Linked DNA regions of Callithrix jacchus. The protein of the gene in region 1 interacts with the protein of each later gene in a pairwise test. Links are inferred from orthologs where the notes say so. Each region holds a gene or a part of one and is shown in the gene's direction. Other genes may lie near its edges.

Region 1 (3,750 bases):
AATGTTGGGTATTCAGTACAGGTCTCTACACATAATACAGACTCAATAACCTGTAAGTCATTGCATACGAGTTATTTGCAAATTGGCTATTTCAAACGCTAGGCTACCAAATAAGCACAAATTATTGCTTTGGTTTTTACCCAGTTGTCCCTAAAATCCAAGAATTAATACCTTACCTTGACCACATGCTGAAGAGCAGGTCTCACTGCTGTCATTAAACTGTCCTGTGCTACCACCTCGAAGATGGATGGCTGGTCATCGGCCACAGAAGCAGTTGTGATGTGAGCCCCGTGCTCAGCCATAGTTTCCTGTGTTGATTGGCTTTCGCTTTTCCCACGAACTCTCTCGTGAGCATGAACTTTTTTGAGAGGAAGGGTATCAGATGGGTGCTCAGTCTTAAAGGTAAACTTTCTGGATGATATCTGAAACTCGAAACTCAATTTTATGGGCAAAAATGAACTAGGAAAAAGACCTGTTCTGGAGGCGGAGGGGAGTCTCAAGAAGGTTAACAACAAAGTGAACTCGGACGTGGGTAGAAGTGGTATGTGGTGAGGGGGTAACTTGTCAAATGCTGCATCTCAGGGCCGGGCGTGACTGAGGGGACAGGTATGGGGGAAGGAACGCGATCCTCCGGAGCTGCAGTCCTGGAGTTGCGAACGAGAAATCCTCCTCAATCGTGAGAGCTCAAAAGCCAACCGACTCTGAGGATGCAGTCGTGCCAGTGTGAGCCCGGGACACGAGGACTGGCTTCAGCTGTTGACTTTGAGTATCCTCGCCAGCGCTCGTCCTTGCTCGCTGACTCCAGGCGAGGCGCAAAGAACCCACGACGCCACGTTTGAAGAGAGGTCTCCGCTTTATGACAGAAGAGGCACCCGGAAATAGAAACCACCAGGACTTCAGGGACGCCTGCGGGAAGAGAGGCGCTCTAGTCCCGAATGCGGCCCGGAAACCAGAACTAGAGAACTCTATGACCCACCCGGACTTCCGCTCCCACTCCGCTGTAAGTGAAGAGGGCCGCTGCGGGCTGGTTTTGGCTGTGACTTTTCCGCTGGTTTGGTTTTACCTTTCGTAGCTGGGTCTGCATGGTAGCCTCGGTGGAAAGCTACAGCCCTGAACGTCTCTCTGCAGAGGTCTTTTTGACAAGTTGTTTGGGGCGCCGCGCACACGTCTGGCTCCGGAAATAGTAGCTTGGGCCCGTTGCTGAACCCTGTGTTCCTGCAGGCGGTGGAGCTAGGGGCAGAGGGAGGAAGGATTTTTCTGTACACGCGCGGAACGGATGGTGGTTAATTTATATGTCTTCCCCTTCCAGAAAGGATTTAAAGCAACATACCAGGAGATAGAAGCCTTAGATTTATTGCTGCCAATTGTAAGGGAAGATGATCGGATTGAGAAAGGTTCATGTTTGTTCCTCAGTACTTGAGACGGTTAATTTTCATCCAAGCTGGTAGTTTAACTGTCTCCCAGGTTTTGGCTACATTCAGGCATAACTCCATGCACTTGCTATACTGGATAAAAATGTCTCCGTCCTTAAACACAGTCTGATATGTCACACCAGCGATGTGAATACAGTGCTAAAGCAGAGGGAGCTTTATGAATTGTAACTAGCATGCACTGGGGACACTTAGCAGAAGGGTTCCTTTCATGCCGTTTTTATGCCAAAACGAGTGTAATTTACCTTAAGGTTTGTAAAGTGCATTTATGTTATATACAGCTTTTTCTCGCTAGAGTTGGCTGACACAGCCCTATTGAAATTGGATGAGAATTCATCCTCTCCTCCTTCTGGGAAGTACTACCTCTGGGCTAAATAGCTGGGAATAGAAGGTATTGTTTACTGCCCTAGAGGCCCTTATGTTATAAAAATAATTGGTTTGCATAATGAGAACCCTCAAAAACTAGGTTTGGATTTAGTTATTCCAATAGGAGACAAAACCTTACAAATTGTCCTTATTTATAGTTTAAGAAGTGTTTTTTACTTGACCAAAATACATCATATTGATAACAAGATTTTTACCTTACATAATTTTAAGACTAGACATAGTTTATATACAGTACCTGGTACATATTAGGTTTATTGGTAGCTATTATGTACAAGCTTTTCTTTTTTTTTTTTTTTTTTTTTTTTTTTTTTTTTGAGACGGAGTTTCGCTCTTGTTACCCAGGCTGGAGTACAATGGCGTGATCTCGGCTCACCGCAACCTCCGCCCCCTGGGTTCAAGCAATTCTCCTGCCTCAGCCTCCCGAGTAGCTGGGATTACAGGCACGTGCCACCATGCCCAGCTAATTTTTTTTTGTAATTTTTAGTAGAGACGGGGTTTCACCATGTTGACCAGGATGGTCTCGATCTCTTGACCTCGTGATCCACCCACCTCGGCCTCCCAAAGGGCTGGGATTACAGGCTTGAAGTGAATAGCAAAAATACAAAGTTGAGAAGTAGCATCAACTAACTCAAGCAGGAAATTAAACATTGTTGTCACTTAGGGATCTTTGGTTACAAGCAACAGAAACAAGCTAATTTAAACTAAAACGGAATTTATTATAAGTGTATGGAGTAGGCCAGGAGTTGTGGCTCATGCTTGTAATCCCAGCACGTTGGGAGGCCGAGGCAGGTGGATCACGAGGTCATGAGATCAAGACCATCCTGGCTAACATGGTAAAACCTTGCCTCGACTAAAAATACAAAAAATTAGCCGGGTGTGGTGGCACGTGCCTGTAATCCCAGCTACTCGGGAGGCTGAGGAGGAGAATCGCTTGAACCTGGGAGGCGGAGGTTGTAGTGAGCTGAGATTGCGCCACTGCATTCCAGCCTGGGTGACAGAACCAGACAATGTCTCAAAAAAAATTTTTTTTACAAGTTAAATAAGAGATCTGGGAGGCCCAATCTTTTAGACTAGTTAATCGGAATGCCCTTCTGAGGACATAACAAAGACCTAAATTTTGAGGAGCCAACCATATAAGGAGTTGAGGAAAAGAATAGGCAGAAGTGGGCTGGGCGTGGTGGCTCACGCCTGTAATCCAAACACTTTGGAGGCCAAGGCAGGTGGACCACCTGAGGTCGGGAGTTCAAGACCACCCTGACCAACATGGTGTAACCCCGTCTTAAAAAAAAAAAAAAAAAGAATAGGCAGAAGGAACAGTATTGTGAGGACCCTAAGGTGGGAATGAGCTCGGTGTGTTTGAGGGCTATTATAACTAGCAAAAGGTGAAAATATGAGGATATGAGCAGTGACTGAAAGGCATAAAATGGTGTTAGAGAGGTAGATAGGCCAAACCATGCAGGGACTCACAGGCCATGGGAATGAACCTAGATTTTAGTCCAAGAGCAATGGGAAGCCAATGAAGGATTCGTACACCAGAGATATGATCAAGTTTATATTTTTTAAAGATGACTCTGATGATTTTATGGGTATGCAGTATTTATATCAAGCTTTACATTTATGGCATATGCACATTCTTGTTTTTAATTTGTTTTCTTGAGACAGAGTCTCACTCTGTAGCCCAGGCTGGAGTGCAGGGGCGCTATCTCAGCTCACTGCAATCTCCGCCTTCCAGGTTCAAATGATTCTTACACCTCAGACCCCCAGAGTAGCTGGTACTACATGTATGTGCCACCACGCCCAGCAAATTTTTATATTTTTAGTAGAGACAGTGTTTTGCCATGTTGGCCAGGCTTGTCTCAAACTCCTGGCCTCAAGTGACCGCTCTGCCTTAGCCTCCTAAAGTGCTGGGATTACAGGCATGAGCCACTGCATC
Region 2 (3,650 bases), on another chromosome or scaffold:
ACCACAGGCAAGTACCATCTAAGTCTTAAATTTTTTTATAGAGACAGGGATCTCATTATACTGCCCAGGTTGGTCTAAACTCCTGGCCTCAAGTGATCCTCCTGCCTTGGCCTCCCAAAGTGCTAGGATTACAGGTGTGAGCCACTGTGACCAGCTTAGCATCGTATTTAAAAGCTAGATGGCTGGGCACGGTGGCTCACGCCTGTAATCCCAATACTTTGGGAGGATGAGGAGGGTGGGTCACGAGGTCAGGCATTTAAGACCAGCCTGGCCAACAAAGTGAAACCCCATCTCTACTAAAAATACAAAAAATTAGCTGTGCGTGGTGGTGGGTGACTGTAATTCCAGCTACTCGGGAAGCTGAGGCAGGAGAATCGCTTGAACCTGGGAGGCGGAGGTGATAGTGAGCCGAGATCATGTCACTGCACTCCAGCCCAGGTGACAGGATGAGACTCCTGTCTCAAAAAAAAAAAAAAAAAATCCAAGGTTCAGATTCCAGCTCCACCCTAGTTTTTATGCAGCCTCTCTGGGCCTCGGTTTCCCCATATGGGGTGATAGTGGTGGGCAGGGAAGGTGGGGATAGGAGTTCTTCCCCCGGGTCACTCCGCACTCTCCACTCTGAGTTTCAGGCAGCAAGAACAAATCGGTGGAGCTGGAGGATGTGAAATTCCACCAGTGTGTGCGGCTCTCACGCTTTGACAACGACCGCACCATCTCCTTCATCCCGCCTGATGGTGACTTTGAGCTCATGTCCTACCGCCTCAGCACCCAGGTGAGGTAGGGTCCAGCCCCGTGTGGGTGGGGTAGGATGGGGTAGGCTGAAGAGTAGCCCTGAGCCAGGTGTGGTGGCTCACGCCTATAATCCCAGCACCTTGGGAGGCTGAGGCGGGTGAATCACTTGAGGTCAGGAGTTTGAGACCAGCCTGGCCAACAGGGTGAAGCCCCATCTCTACTAAAAATACAAAAATTAGCTGGGCATGGTGGCACATGCCTGTAATGCCAGCTCCTGGGGAGGGTGAGGCAGGAGAATTGCTTGAACCTGGTAAGCGAAGGTTGCAGTGAGCTGAGATCACGCCATTGTACTCCAGCCTGGGTGAAGAAGCCAGACTCTTCTCATAAAAAAAAAAGGGGGGGGGGCTGGTCTTGGTGACTCATGCCTGTATTCCAGCACTTTGAAAGGCCAAGGTGGGTGAATCACGAGGTCAAGAGATCAAGACCAGCCTGGCCAACATGGTGAAACTCCATCTCTATTAAAAATACAAAAATTAGCTGGGTGTGGTGGCACACACCTGTAGTCCTAGCTACTCAGGAGGCTGAGGCAGCAGAATTACTTGAACCCAGGAGGCATAGGTTGCAGTGAGCCGAGATCGCGCCACTGCACTCCAGCCTGGGTGACAGAGCAAGACTCTGTCTCAAAAAAAAAAAAAAAGAGAGAGTGACCCTGGAGTCTCCAACAACTGCTCCCATCTTTTGTCCACAGGTGAAGCCACTGATCTGGATTGAGTCTGTCATTGAGAAGTTCTCCCACAGCCGTGTGGAGATCATGGTCAAGGTGGGCCTTGGGAGCATGCTTATTAACAATGCATGAGCTCAGGTGGGTGCAGTGGCTCATGCCTGTAATCCCAGCACTTTGGGAGTCTGGAGCAGGCAGATCACTTAAGCCCAGGACTTTGAGACCAACCTGGGCAACATGGCAAAACCCTGTTTCTACAAAAAAAATACAACAATTAGCCTGGCATAGTGGTGAGTCCTTGTGATCCCAATTACTTGGGAGGCTAAGGTGGGAGGATTGCTTGAACCCAGGAGGAGGAGGTGGTTGCAGTGAGCCAAGGACTCTAGCCTGGATGATAGAGCTGGAACCCAGCCCCCCAAAAAACAGTCAGTTACCAAAGGAAAACTTCACTGGGAGTCATGGCTCATACCTGTAATCCCAGCACTTTGGGAGGCCGAGGTGGGCAGATCACCTGAGGTCAGAAGTTCAAGACCAGCCTGGCCAACATGGTGAAACCCTGTCTCTACTAAAAATACAAATATTAGCCAGGTGTGGTGGCGCTCACCTTAATCCCAGTCACTCAGGGGGCTGAGGCAGGAGAATCGCTTGAACTCCAAGGCAGAGGTTGTGGTGAGCCGAGAGCATGCCATTGCACTCTAGTCTGGGCAATAAGAGTGAAACTTCATATCTAAAACAACAACAACAAAACAGGCCAGACAAGGTGGCTCACATCTGTAATTCCAGCACTTTGGGAGGCCAAGGCGAGTGAATCATGAGGTCAGGAGTTCGAGACTAGCCTGACCAACATGGTGAAACCCCGTCTCTACTAAAAATGCAAAAATTAGCCAGGCGTGGTGCTGCGCGCCTGTAACGCCAGCTACCTGGGAGGCTGAGGCAGGAGAATGGCTTAAACCTGGGAGGTGGAAGTTTCGGTGAGCTGAGATTGTGCCCCTGCACTCTAGCCTGGGCGACAGAGTGAGACTGTCTCAAAAAACAAACAAACCAAACCAAACCAAAACAAAAAACAACTCTTCTGTGCTGGACTGAGGGGTTGGTTTGTTCGTTTTGAGGCGGAATCTCCCTCTGTTGCCCAGGCTGGAGTGCAGTAGCACGTTCTCGGCTCACTGCAACCTCTGCCTCCTGAGTTCAAGTGATTTGCCTGCCTCAGCCTCTGGAGTAGCTGGGATTATAGGTGAGTGCCCCCATGCCCAGCTAATTTTTGTATTTTTAGTAGAACTCCTGCCCTCAGGGTATCTGCCTGCTTCACCCTCGGCCTCCCAAAATGCTGGGATTGCAGGCATGAACCATTGCGGCAGGCCAGAAGGGGTCATTTTGAATCAGGCAGAGGTGTATGGTGCTGTCCAAATGGAAGGCACCAAGAGCGGGGCTTCTGGTGGCTCACGGGTGTGGCCCTGGCTCTACCACTTGTTGGCTGTGTATCTGCAGGGAAATGCCTTAACTTCTGTGTACCTCAGTTTCCTTGTCTGCAAAATGGACAGGATAGGCAGGCATGGTACTCATTCCTGCAATCCCAGCACTTTGGGAGGCTGAGGTGGGTGCATCACAAGGTCAGGAGATCGAGACCAGCCTGGCTAATATGGTGAAACCTCGTCTCTACTAAAAATACAAAACAATTAGCTGGGCATGGTGGCGTGTACCTGTAGTCCCAGTTACTCCGGGGGGCGCGGGGGCCGGGGGCTCTGAGGCAGAATAACCTCTTGAACCTAGGAGGCAGAGGTTGCAGTGAGCTGAGATTGTGCCACTACACTCCAGCCTGGGCAACAGAGCGAGACTCTGTCTCAAAAAACAAACAAAAACTGGACAGGATAATGTCGCCACCTTAGAATGTGGAGCCCTGGCTGAGATGGCGTAGGAAAGGGCTTGGTGAATATTTGTAGGGTGTGCAGTCGAATTCTTCATGCTGCATGCTCTCCCCTCTGATAGGCCAAGGGGCAGTTTAAGAAACAGTCAGTGGCCAACGGTGTGGAGATATCTGTGCCTGTGCCTAGTGATGCCGACTCCCCCAGATTCAAGACCAGTGTGGGCAGCGCCAAGTATGTGCCAGAGAAAAACGTCGTGATTTGGAGTATTAAGTCTTTCCCGGTAAGGACTAGGGACTGGTGGGGAATCTGGGGTAGGGGTGGCTGGAGTAGCGTCA

Evidence for each region. The genes of interacting proteins can lie anywhere in the genome.
Region 2: the proteins of AP2B1 (region 1) and AP1M2 interact in binary tests that used the Homo sapiens proteins (3 or more experiments, as listed by UniProt). The two-hybrid records come from large-scale screens. The link is inferred for Callithrix jacchus from reciprocal best matches to the Homo sapiens genes AP2B1 and AP1M2.

Annotation. Positions count from the first base shown.
Region 1 is NC_133506.1:98,820,436-98,824,185, reverse strand, and holds the start of AP2B1 (AP-2 complex subunit beta), read left to right. Parts: upstream 1-951; 5' UTR 952-1,000; intron 1,001-1,063; coding exon of another isoform or gene 1,064-1,084; exon of another isoform or gene 1,085-1,246; intron 1,247-3,750. UniProt on the Homo sapiens protein: Component of the adaptor protein complex 2 (AP-2). Adaptor protein complexes function in protein transport via transport vesicles in different membrane traffic pathways.
Region 2 is NC_133523.1:9,755,489-9,759,138, reverse strand, and holds part of AP1M2 (AP-1 complex subunit mu-2), read left to right. Parts: intron 1-623; coding exon 624-772; intron 773-1,480; coding exon 1,481-1,552; intron 1,553-3,436; coding exon 3,437-3,595; intron 3,596-3,650. UniProt on the Homo sapiens protein: Subunit of clathrin-associated adaptor protein complex 1 that plays a role in protein sorting in the trans-Golgi network (TGN) and endosomes.